Arabidopsis thaliana: one gene and its partner. The protein of the gene in region 1 interacts with the protein of each later gene in a pairwise test. Each region holds a gene or a part of one and is shown on either strand. Other genes may lie near its edges.

What was found.
Region 2: the proteins of PLP6 (region 1) and HUB1 interact in binary tests that used the Arabidopsis thaliana proteins (3 or more experiments, as listed by UniProt).

The regions. Positions count from the first base shown.
Region 1 is NC_003071.7:16,374,374-16,379,124, forward strand, and holds PLP6 (PATATIN-like protein 6), read right to left. Parts: upstream 2,796-4,751; 5' UTR 2,291-2,795; coding exon 1,100-2,290; intron 991-1,099; coding exon 682-990; 3' UTR 508-681; downstream 1-507. UniProt on the Arabidopsis thaliana protein: Possesses non-specific lipolytic acyl hydrolase (LAH) activity. Hydrolyzes phospholipids as well as galactolipids. May play a role in disease resistance.
Region 2 is NC_003071.7:18,542,612-18,550,449, reverse strand, and holds the start of HUB1 (histone mono-ubiquitination 1), read left to right. Parts: upstream 1-1,797; 5' UTR 1,798-2,202; coding exon 2,203-2,319; intron 2,320-2,499; coding exon 2,500-2,661; intron 2,662-2,744; coding exon 2,745-2,823; intron 2,824-2,942; coding exon 2,943-3,170; intron 3,171-3,268; coding exon 3,269-3,430; intron 3,431-4,160; coding exon 4,161-4,354; intron 4,355-4,429; coding exon 4,430-4,513; intron 4,514-4,638; coding exon 4,639-4,758; intron 4,759-4,854; coding exon 4,855-5,041; intron 5,042-5,131; coding exon 5,132-5,292; intron 5,293-5,374; coding exon 5,375-5,446; intron 5,447-5,659; coding exon 5,660-5,736; intron 5,737-6,109; coding exon 6,110-6,304; intron 6,305-6,415; coding exon 6,416-6,488; intron 6,489-6,580; coding exon 6,581-6,667; intron 6,668-6,743; coding exon of another isoform or gene 6,744-6,779; exon of another isoform or gene 6,780-6,903; intron 6,904-6,905; coding exon 6,906-7,043; intron 7,044-7,128; coding exon 7,129-7,331; intron 7,332-7,425; coding exon 7,426-7,591; and 2 more. Other genes in the region: AT2G44970 (alpha/beta-Hydrolases superfamily protein), read left to right, coding at 1-83, 195-244, 330-427, 508-795, 978-1,451. UniProt on the Arabidopsis thaliana protein: E3 ubiquitin-protein ligase that monoubiquitinates H2B to form H2BK143ub1. H2BK143ub1 gives a specific tag for epigenetic transcriptional activation and is also prerequisite for H3K4me and maybe H3K79me.

The DNA.
Region 1 (4,751 bases):
ATAGAGTGGATTGTCAATTTGTAATAATATTCGTTGTTGTGTCACTACCCGGAATTACCCGGAATCAAGAAAGTGACTTTTATTGGAGCGCCAATGAATATGATTTCATAACCGCCTTCTTGATACGTTCTATTCATTACGGTCCCAAGTTCACATCTTTGAACTTACGTTAAATCACATCATTACAAAAAGAGTTTTGGTCTCCAATCAAATTAAATCTCCAAAGAGATTTGGTCTCATTGCACATCTTTTCCTTTTTAGAAAATTCCAAATGAAGAATTTGCTTCTGAATATGAGAAAATTCGTATCAATAAATTTTTTCATTAATCTACAAAAGGAAAAAATTGAAATGCATCATATGATGTTTTGCAGAATCAATGACTCTGTAACAAACAGAGACTAAAAGGGTCCTTAAAGGTAAGTTGGCAACTATCTTCTTGTTTAAGAAATGTGTTAATCTTTGTGAGTCAAGGTAATTAGGCTAAACTTGTTTTGTTGATTAGCCTTGACGCTCTCTGCATTCCAAAATTTTGTTGACGAAGCTCTTTTAGAGTCAATAGAAAATAACAATTCAGTAAAACAAAAATTACACATATCTTTAAGATTTAATAAAAAGCCTAATTCGAATATAATGTTGCTTTCTTCTGGACTTAAACACAAATCTATACAATTTAAAAATATTCAAAACATACAATCAATATCCTTGAAAATGGTCTGTTGATCGACTCTTCTGTCGCCGGATTGCTTGAACGCTACAGTGGGAGCGATTCTACAACTCCTCCTCTGGTGTTCTAGCACTAGTTCACCGGCTAACCAATCCAGCTTCTCATAATTGCTTTCTTCATTGATTTTCTTACCACCAAACAGAACAGACTCTGCATTCTTCTGCTTCAGCATCTCCTCTGCTACTCCCACAAGCATATTCACATTGCTTGGACTCGCATCTGTGTCTATGTTTGGTTTGCACGGACCAAAGCTTGATCCATTCGCCTATAAAACCACACAAACAAAAAGTTCTAGTATCAATATCAAGATTCAACTTCACATAACTAGTCTAATAAGAGCCTCACACTCCCATGCACTAATAATAAGCATTTACCTGAATACGGACGTAGTTACTCCTCCTACACTGACCAAACGCCATGGAAACAGCCTGATCCACAGTATCAGCTGCTCCATCAGCAGAAATCCGAACCGCAGGTCGAGCCCAATGCTTAGCCTTCCACTTCATAACCTTATCACAATCATACTTAACATCAACCAACTGTCCCGTACCAAGTGACAACACAAGCAAATCCTCAACACCTCTAACAAAAGGAAACTCTTGCTTATTATGCAACACATGAGTAATCGCTGCAGCCGTTGGATTACTCATTGCTAAACCACCATCAACAGCTACACACCGTGTCTTACCATCAACTGATCTCATCTCCACCGGCTCAAACACTCCTGGCTCAGCCCAAGTAGCTCTACAAACTTCCCACAGCTTAAAATCATAACCGTCCGTTTCCAACGCATCAGCACGTGAGAACAAGAACGGTGCAGAGCTCGTGAGGTCGTAACAAGGAATCAAAACCGGTTTAAGCGTATCCTTAAGCGTAAGCTCTTCGAAAGACTCCTTCATCGCTTTCTCAAGCTTCGAACCTGACCCACCCGAACCACCCGACCCGGTTTTCATAACCCTGTTTAGTATCCCCGGTGGTGATTTGTTGTAAAAGCTTTTACCTTTCATAGCTAAAAACCGCCACGTGTCTTCCGCTTTGAAGATCGGACGGTTACCATCGCTCGACGCAAAAAGCATCGCCGTGAAAATCCCACCGATACCGGAACCGGAAGCTACGTCGAAGTAATCAGCGATTCGAGCATTCGGGTCACCCGATTTCGATTTCAGAGCATGTTCCAGATAAGCCAAAGCTTTTCCAGGTATAATCCCTCTCATTCCACCACTATCGATACTCAAAACACAAACTTTACCTCTCTGGTTCTTAACTGTACCCGGAACAACGCCGTTTAAAGCTTCCACCATCGCCGGTGATGCCGTTTCTTGCTCTGGACTCGGGTCTCTGCTTCTTGATTCCATAAGCTTCAGGTCATCATCATACCCGAAAAGAAACTTGCTTTCGAGAATAGAGAAAATCTCGTAGCTAAGCTTATCAGTCTCGATGCTCGGTTCTTGCATATCCGTCGCCGTCACTCCACCGTCACCGCCGTTACTCTGTTTTACCAAATGCTTAAAACCTCCGATAGAATCAATCGGTTTGTTGTGTACTCTTTGCATCGTAGTTAACATAAAAGAGTATTTAAATCAAATCTTTAAAACACTCTCTAGGCATTATCGCCAAGACAAGACAAAAACCTAATCTTTTTTATAAATCTGTCATAAGAACACGAGAAAAGAAAACAGAGTACGAGAAGTCTTATTCGCAAACGATGCTTTTGTTCTTGTTTCTGTCTTTATTTTCCCTCCTTAAATCACTCGAAATTTTCAAAAAGAAAAAAGGAGAATGATTTCTATTTTGAAATCTGTCTTGAGAAGACAAAAAGAGTGAATTTTTATTATTACTCAGACAGTATCAATAAAGGGAGATGAAGAAGAAGGAGCAAGAACAGAGAAACTGCAAAGGATCTTCTTTTATATCTCACGCGTGACTTTTGTTGCTTAGTAATAAGGAATGAAGCAATAAATATTAATACGGGACCAGCAGTTACATGCATACAAATCTTTTAAGTGTCTGACAATAATTCAAGGAAATTGTTTTATTGAACTGACAAGAATTTGAGAATTTTGAGGTGTGTTTTGCTGAAAAGTCATTCCTTAATCATGTACTTAAGGTGGGATTATGTATGTGGTTGTTACATTTAAATACAAATGAGTAAAAATACAGATTTGTATGGATTATGATTGATTAGAAGAATGTATTTCAGTTCTATTCCATTTCCATATCCACATGACTAAAATTTGAAAATTCATAAAACGAGTTGAGGCAATATTAGTTAAACACTCTCTTTCGGAAAACTTAATTCCCCAATACATTTCTAAACTTTTTCATATAGTAGCTAGTATTTTCAATAAATTGATACAACTTTACATCTGAATTGACATAATTTTAGTATCCTATAAGTTATGTTATATTCAGAGTCGGTATGTAACATTCAGTGACGATTATAGCCTTTAAGGTTGTTGTGTGATTTTCAATGCCGTTTATTATCTTCGGAGTTGGGTTGTGATTTTAGGTTTGGATTTATATTTTTTTTTTTGTTCTGTGTAATATCATTAAAAATGACAAGGTCTAGCTTTATAGAGTAAGAGCCTACGGTTTTGAATCTTTGGTAAAAAAGAGTTGAAGACAAAAGATTTGGAAGTCATATAGTGCGAGTTCATGTTAACCAAAACTTCATTAGCTAGGTTGCGGTATCACTTGCGTTTACGTGTTGCGGTGTTCATTGAAGAAAATGGTAGCTGGGACCGAGACTTGGTTGTGCACGACATTATTCCTCTACTTCGAAATTGATATGGTAGAATGATGAAAAACGAAATTTGGTAGCATGAAAACATATCAGTAAAGTCATTCAGTCCTTCCCAACGTCTTGTGTCTTATTAAGTAACATTTATGAAAGCCAATGAGAAAAAAATAAAATTTGCTGCTCTTTTTCTATATTGTGGCAGTTGGAATTTCTTGTATATAACATCTTGCATTTATTATGTAGGTCTAAATTCGGATGATGAATTGATGATACAATAATAATAATGTTAACTCAAACCATAATACCATATACAATATCAAACCAAAACTCAAATTTGCGGCCATCACCCGAAGTTATCGGAACTTTAATGTTTTAAAATAATATGTTTGGTGGTAATTGACTCTTGTCTCAACAGTAATCAAATGACGAAATGATTCACGTGTATTGATTATAGTTGACTATATAAAGGAATCTATGGAGTCCAAATCAAACAGATGCAAGCGTTTAATCATTTCTTTTTCCTTTTTTTTTTTTTGGCAACAAGCATCAGTAACCAATGAATTGTTATACCATCTTCCAAACAATATACTAATAAACGTTTTAAGTATTATTGTAGGATTGATCATCAGTTAGCCAACAATCTGAAACATAGTTACGAATAATTGGATTTGGTTAATTCGAACAAGCAAGTGACCAGTACTGGAGTAGTAAAGTTGGTGGTATGGGCACCGACGGGGAGAGGTCCACGTCACTGTTGGTCCCCGTAATCTTCGCTTCTTTCTTTTGTCTTACACAAATCTGAATAGTTGATGTTAATAAAGATGAAGAAAGGTTTTTGAATCTTTTGATTTTTTCTTCTTTCTTGTTCCGTTTTTGTCGCTGCGCGTGGAGCCCTTCGACTACATTGATGATCTATTTGCCAAACAAATATGGGATCTTCTTTATTTTAAGCATAATATAAGAGTGTGGTTTACTTTGCCCGTGATTTTGGGTTTGTTACTTAACTTAGTTGAGTAATAAATTTTGTCTATCCGTATTTAACTTGTTCAAAACGGCTATTTCGAGATTTTATATACACGTTAACAAATTGTCTACTTGCATGTTATTTGTCCCGTTTCATTACGTGAGATCATATATCGAATGGGACTCGTGGTATGAGATAAGGAAGGGGTACTCTCACTCGTGGTATATATACCTAATTTTTAAATTTCTTTTGTTTAGTCTCTGCATGTAGTATAACTTTTTTCTTGTTACATTGGTAAGATAGTAAAAATAACTATACAAGT
Region 2 (7,838 bases), 2.2 Mb from region 1:
ATAGGATGGTTACAGCGTGCCCCGGAGATGCCTCCTGTTGAAGATGGAACTGATAGGTTCAATAAAATTCTGGAAGACATCGGGTATGAATTGGTTGTAGTTGCATGTTTTGTGTGCTTTGTGGCCTTTTCAATATGCTGTTTAACATCCTGTTTTTTACTAAATGGCTGCGTTGATCTGGTTTTTATATCCAGGCATGGTGTACACAGGCTTCCAAATACAGTGGTGTACTTATTGGTTCCAGGTAGCAATTCTTATTCTTTGCTGCCAGCCACTTAAACTACATTACTGTATATTAGGACTCTCAAAATTAGTTGAATTTTTTTTAGGTCTTTTCAGCAATCATGGACCTCTATATTTTGTGGATACGAAAACGAAATTCTCAAAGATGGGTTTGGCGTGTCATATTGCGAAGATTCACAGCGAGGTAATCATAACTAACTCAACTTAGTACAGTTACATTTGGTGTATAGCATACTAATATATGGAGAAATGTTTATATATCAGTCCTCGGTTGAGAAAAATGCGAGAGAGATAAAGGAATACATAGAGGAACTCTGTTGGGGATCTAATAAGCGGGTTCTACTTCTTGGGCATAGCAAAGGAGGCATAGATGCAGCTGCTGCTTTATCACTATACTGGCCTGAACTAAAGGATAAGGTCGCTGGGTTGGTACTGGCGCAGAGTCCATATGGTGGAAGCCCAATAGCTACAGATATCCTCCGTGAAGGACAACTAGGTGATTACGTCAATTTGAGAAAGATGATGGAGATTCTAATCTCCAAAGTCATAAAGGTTTGCAACATTCCTGATCTAACAAAGTCATTTCAGTTGCATTATATCAGCTTCTTGTGATTGCCTGTTAAAATCCTTAGTTAGGTGGAACCGAGAAACTAGGGATAAACCAAAACTTATTTTGTTTCTGGATTCTATTGCTCTGCTGATCTTTCTGATGAATTCCTTGGAACATTGTGAAGGGTGACATTCAAGCATTGGAAGATTTAACATACGAGAGAAGAAAAGAATTCTTGAAGAATCATCCGCTTCCCCGAGAACTCCCCACGGTTTCATTCCGCACAGAAGCTAGCATTAGCCCAGCGGTTCTATCCACTTTATCACACGTAGCACACGCTGAACTTCCTCTGACAAACCAAGCCGCAAAACTGCCAGTGGTAATGCCACTTGGTGCTGCAATGGCTGCTTGCGCTCAGCTACTTCAAGTCAGATACGGTGAAAAGAGTGACGGGCTAGTGACTTGCTGTGACGCAGAGGTTCCTGGTTCTGTGGTTGTTAGACCCAAACGTAAACTAGACCATGCCTGGATGGTGTACTCTTCCTTGAACGAGGTTCCTTTAGAAGCTGATGCTGCTCAAGTTTGTGAAGCGCTCTTAACTTTGCTTGTCCAAGTTGAGCAAGAGAGGCAACAAAAACTCGCAACAAAAATCGATTGATAAACCAAATTGTTTTATTTCTACTTTCGTCTTGAGACTTCAAATTACTGTATTTGTTTCTATCTTTTTGTTTTATTTCTTACTAATTTACTATCAGGTTTGAATCACACGATAACAAAAAAATTATTACAAACGGTAGATTTTATATTTATAAGACTACTTAATTTGCTTCTTTTTTTTTCTTTTATTGTTGATTAATTTTTATTAGAAGATTAGTTATGTTTTTCTCTCTATTCCTTTAACGAACCGTGATCGTGCGGCTCGGATCGTTGGAGATTCTATGGACGGCCGATGCTTATATACTGTAAGTGGAATATGTAATTCCCGAAAGTGCCCTCCAGATGTTCACAAAATTACGCCATCGTACTCGAATTAACTTCAACTCTCTCTTCTCTCTCTCTTTCTTTTCACTCTTGTTTTTGTTTCTGTGAGTGCTGTGTGTGTTCTCGGTTTGTAATATCTAAGTCGCACAAAGATCAGACAAAGTCTGTTTGCGTTTGATAGCATTAGAGTCTGATCGAATTTGGAAGACCTGTGAGATTAGGGTTTCTTTTTGTTTGTTTTTTTTTATTCCGAAGGAGAGCTGCGGAGCAATTGGAATTACCTCGGTTAAAGCAATCACGTAGCTTTGGATCGTTTAGGGTTTTCTCATTGGGTTTGGGGGATTTGTATTCGAGCTTCCTCAAACTCAATCTGATGGTGATGTGAGACAAGGCTTAATCCTGTTAATTGGCGATTCTAGGGTTTTTCAATGGCGAGCACAGGCGAGCCTGACCGTAAAAGGCGTCACTTTAGCTCCATATCACCTTCTGAAGCTGCAGCCGCCGTAAAGAAACAGCCTTTCTTTTGGCCCTCCTCCGAGGACAAGGTTTCTTTCTTCTTCATCTCCCCCTTGTGCATGCCCTTTACATCTATTCTCTTACTTATCCAATCAATCATAGCTTTCCAGCTATTAGAGATTCATATACTGAATGTCTTTTGTCTCGAATTTGGTCTATTTTGGAATTGGGATTCTCTCTCTTAAGGAGTTTGTTTTCGTTTGATACAGCTTGATACTGCAGTTCTTCAGTTCCAAAATCTTAAGCTATCACAAAAGCTAGAGGCTCAGCAGGTTGAGTGTTCTATTCTTGAGGATAAACTCTCTCAGATCAAGGAAAAACAATTACCATACAACTCCAGTTTGAAGACTGTCCATAAGTCTTGGGAAAAGGTAACACTGAATTTGCTTTCGATTCTAATAGAACTTGGATTAGATCTCTTTTTCTAGAGAACTAATTAATGCTTGTATAGCAGCTTACAGCTTCAGTGGAATCATGCTCTGTTCGTGTGAGTGATTCAAGCAGCGGAGCTCATAGGTTTGTAAACAAGGAGGGTATGAACAACTTAAGCCCGCCTTTTCTTCGTTCTGTTAGTGCTAGGATCTAGTTTAGATTTGGTTTTATATGTTACAAATATGACTTTTTGAAAGGTTAACTTTAAATTGCTACACAGATGGGTCTTCTCCAGCCGTGAAAAACGATTTCATCAACCGGCTACTTGAAACTGGTGCTACTGAGAGCTCCTCATCCAATATCTGCTCGAATCAGATGGAAGAAAATGGAGTGAATACGTCAAGCCAGATGACGCAAACCTTGTATAATCTAGTAGCCGCGACAGAGGATTTGAGGTGTCTGAAGGATGAATTATATCCCACAGTTCTCAGAACCAATCTTGGTAAAGGTATGACTTCCACTGCGATCAATTGTCAGCTCTTGTTATGGCCTTTATAACATTTTAGTATTAACCCAGGTCCTATGTGGAATTGCTTTCTTTTCTAGATTTGTGCGGTCAGCTAGCTCTGAGTGAGTTGGAATCAGAAATTAAAAGTTTCAGAGGGGATCTAGATGATGTACTTGTGAAGTTCAAATCACTTTCTAGAGAATTGCAGAGTCATCGCGATGCTGATGCTAAAGTTAGAGTAGACCTCAAACGAATAAGAGGTAGCTACTTAGTCTCGTCTCACTCGACTATATACTGTTAAAATGGATTTTTTAATTGGCATTGTTTATATGGATATAGTATTCATGCATCAAATGTAAATTTGTAATCATATACGTGGCTTGACAAAAAAAGGTCCTATATACATGAAAAGCTACTGAAATCATATCTCGCTTTTGATTGATGAGGATAAGTGTAAGTAGAGGTGATCAAATTGTGAATCTTCCAATTCCACGCCTGTGTATTTATGTCCAGCACTACTCAGTTGTTTAATAGCCATGATTGGATTTAGATCATAGAGATTAAGATTGAAGAGAGAGATACATTAAGACTGGAAGAAAACCTCTATGGTAGAGCCAGCTGTTAAGAAGACATGTAGCTGTGGAAGATATACTCATTAGCGAACTGATGGGTGTACAAAACCCTTCTGAGACATGAACTTCTTAGTTTTCTTTTATACCATTTACCCATATTTATATATTTCGGTAGATTTTAGGAGATAGAGAAGCTGGTAATTCTTTGAGAATGACATACATCCACATAAGTGAAGCATCTTAATTTTGTTGATAAATTACCCGTTTACCTTAAGATGTAAGATTTCAATACTGACAGTAGCCACAGTTAAGAAATTCAAAGAGTTAAAATTTATTTTAGTTTACATGCCTGCTTTTGGATTAATGCTTCTTGACTACCGCATCAACTGATATTATACTTTATTTGGTCTATTCGAAGGGGAGCTAGAGGATGAGGTTGTGGAGCTTCAGCAGTGTAATGGTGACTTGTCAGCATTGAGAGCAGAAAGGGATGCAACAGCTGGGGCGTTTTTCCCAGTGTTGAGTCTTGGAAATAAGCTTGCTACCAGTGATCGGGAGAGGGATAAACAAAGGGATCTGCAAGACATGGAAACAGTTCTGAAAGAGTTAACGGTATCTTTGTTTTTCTGATTTGTTTTCATTGGTAATTCTTTAAGTTTTGGGTTGATAACGGCCTGGTTTCGGTAGGTCCTGGCTTCAGGCAGGCTACAACAGCTAAAAAATCTTCATGAGGAGAGGACAAAGATGCTTGGAAAAATGAGTAATTTACAGGTCAGTGTATTGATCCAATTGGGGTATTTGTATTAGTTTGTCTCTGTATGGGGTTTGATATATGAAAATTTGTGGAATGGTAGCCTCTTCCTATTGCTAAAACTGATGTAAGAGTTTTCTAACAGAACAAGTCAAAGTCTGTGAGGTGCATCTCATCTTCTCAAGCCTGCCTTTCTTTGAAAGACCAGCTAGAAAAATCCAAAGAAGCAGTTTTCCAGTATATGGCTTTACTTGAGAAACTGCAGGTTATATCTGGTTTGCGATTTTCATTTTGTATCTATGTTTATAAAATTTACGTTGTATATTTAGTTGTGAAGCTTTCCTCCATTCGAAAATTTCAGGTTGAAAAAGATAGTATAGTCTGGAAGGAAAGGGAGATAAATATAAAAAATGAACTAGGTGATGTTTCTCGAAAGACGTCTGCTGTTACTGATTCTAGAATGGCTTCTTTGGATTCGGAGATACAGAAACAACTGGATGAAAAAATGCGAATCAAGACTAGGCTGGGAAATATATCAAGAGAGCGAGGTCACAAATTGATTACTTTGACTTCCAATTCTGTATCTCCCACCCACACCTGTTTCACTTTGGAGTCTGATTAAGTTATTCGTATGTCAGGTAGAAAAGAAATCTTTGCAGATATGAAGGCATTAATTTCTTCGTTCCCCGAGGAAATGAGTTCCATGCGTAGTCAATTAAACAATTATAAAGAGACTGCTGGAGGTATTCATTCTCTGCGGGCTGATGTCCAGTCCCTCTCTGGGGTTCTATGTAGGAAGGTGGGAAATAATGTGAACAGTGATTGATGCTTATTGTTACAGTTTATGTTATGCTTACTTAATAAGCTTAATTGGTGAACAGACAAAAGAGTATGAAGCATTGCAATTGAGATCAGCTGATTATGCTTCTCAGTTAGGTGACCTGAATGCTACGGTATGATGCAATGTATCTACCTTTTTCAGTGTACTGCCCATGACTTATATATGTTGACAGTGTTCATATTGGTTATTGTTACTTTGCATTATTTCTTGGAAAAAGTATAGTGAAAAGGCGGATTAGCAATTTAAATCTTGTTAAATGTCTTTGGTTGGCAAAGTGGTAGTTGTTATGTTCTTTACTTTCAATTGATTGGAGTCTGTCATGCAGGTTTGTGATTTGAAGAACAGTCATGAGGAGTTAAAGTTGTTTCTGGACATGTATAAACGTGAGTCCACTGATGCGAGGTAAGCACAACTATATATAACGATATCTAAGATTTCAATTCTTAGAGAAAAGTTTCCTTATCTTCCCCTTCTCACTGTCCAAATATATAGTATAACAACAAGTGCTGTTATTAATCTTGCCTTCTGACTGAACTATCGAATCTTGCTGAAAGTTTGTTGTTAATTTTTCTTGCGTTTCTGAAGAAACTTATGTTCACATTTTCAATTTATCCATGACAGCTTTTAATATCTGATCTATTTTTACAGTTCCATCTGATAAAAACTCTTTTGGATGTGTTAGGATTTGTTTATCTTCTTATCTTGACTGAACACATTATTATAATGCGGTTGGTATATTGCCTTAAGCATCACTGTCGATAATGTGCTATGGCAGGGACATAGCTGAAGCCAAGGAACAGGAGTACAGGGCTTGGGCTCATGTTCAGAGTTTGAAATCATCCCTTGATGAGCAAAATCTGGAGTTGCGCGTTAAGGCAGCAAATGAAGCTGAAGCCGTTTCCCAACAAATGTTGGCTGCTGCGGAAGCAGAGATTGCTGATTTAAGGCAGAAAATGGATGATTGTAAAAGGTAAATAAGTATAAGTAGAAGTCTGCAATTTATAGATGCAATCACGCAGTTCTTCCATAGGAATTCTTTGAGAGTTTTTTGTTTGACAAGGATAAGTCTTTTCTGTTTCAGGGATGTCGCCAAGCATTCTGATATCTTGAAATCTAAACATGAAGAACATGGAACATATCTTTCTGAAATACAGGTTGGCTTATGAAATTTCGTGTTTCTTTGTTCTTAACATATTTTAAAAACCTTGATGTTGCGTATCGATTTACAGTAACTATATTCTTTTAGACAATTGGAAGTGCCTATGAGGACATTGTACCGCAAAACCAACAGCTTTTGCTTCAAGTTACAGAGAGGGATGACTATAACATCAAGGTATCGTGTCCAAACTCTTCTAGTTCCTCTATCTGATCTATCTCTGTGACTTCTCACTTACTCTTATATCTAGTAGTGTTACATTTATTCAGAGATTGATGGATCGTTTTAATGGGCATGGACCAATTTCTGTGGTTATACCTTGTATGTTTTGCTAGAATATCATGAAAAAAAGGATGGTTTGTTACTTGGATCAGACAATGAGATGTAATTTTTTGCTCGCCCATTGTTGTTTCAGCTTTTCTTGGAAGGCATAACTTCTAGGCAGATGCAAGATACTCTGCTTATCGATAAATACATCATGGATAAGGATATACAGCAAGGCAGTGCATATGCCAGTTTCCTATCCAAGAAATCATCAAGAATTGAAGATCAGGTATATCTGTGTGTGCCCGTATGCTCAAATTGTAAGCCTCCTTATTGTGAGACTTTGACTAAGGTGTTTTTCTTTTTCCTTGCAGTTGAGGTTCTGCACAGATCAGTTTCAGAAACTAGCGGAAGATAAATATCAAAAGTCTGTTTCTCTTGAAAATCTGCAAAAGAAACGTGCAGACATCGGGAATGGCTTGGAACAAGCTAGGTCAAGGCTGGAGGAGTCCCATTCTAAAGTTGAGCAAAGTCGGCTGGATTATGGGGCATTAGAACTGGAACTGGAGATTGAAAGGTAAATCAATTGCTCCCTCCATCTTCTCTATCCTAATTAATAGTCATAAACAAGTGTTAGTGATGAAGGTATCGTTCTTTTCTGCGTATATCAGGTTCAATAGGAGAAGGATAGAGGAGGAAATGGAAATAGCCAAAAAGAAAGTTTCTCGTCTTCGGTCTCTCATAGAAGGATCATCGGCCATTCAAAAGCTCCGACAAGAACTCAGTGAATTTAAAGAAATTCTGAAGTGTAAGGCCTGCAACGATCGCCCAAAAGAGGTAAAGAGTCACTGCTCTCCATTATTTAGATCTCAGCAAGACGCTCAAATCATGATCCCTTGAATCTTTTAGTCAACTGCGTGCGTGATTGCTGATTGGTTTTGGTCTTTGGCTTAACAAACTAGGTGGTGATTACGAAGTGCTACCATTTGTTCTGCAACCCATGTGTGCAAAAGCTCACAGGAACTCGACAAAAGAAGTGTCCAACATGCTCAGCAAGTTTTGGACCAAATGATATTAAACCTAT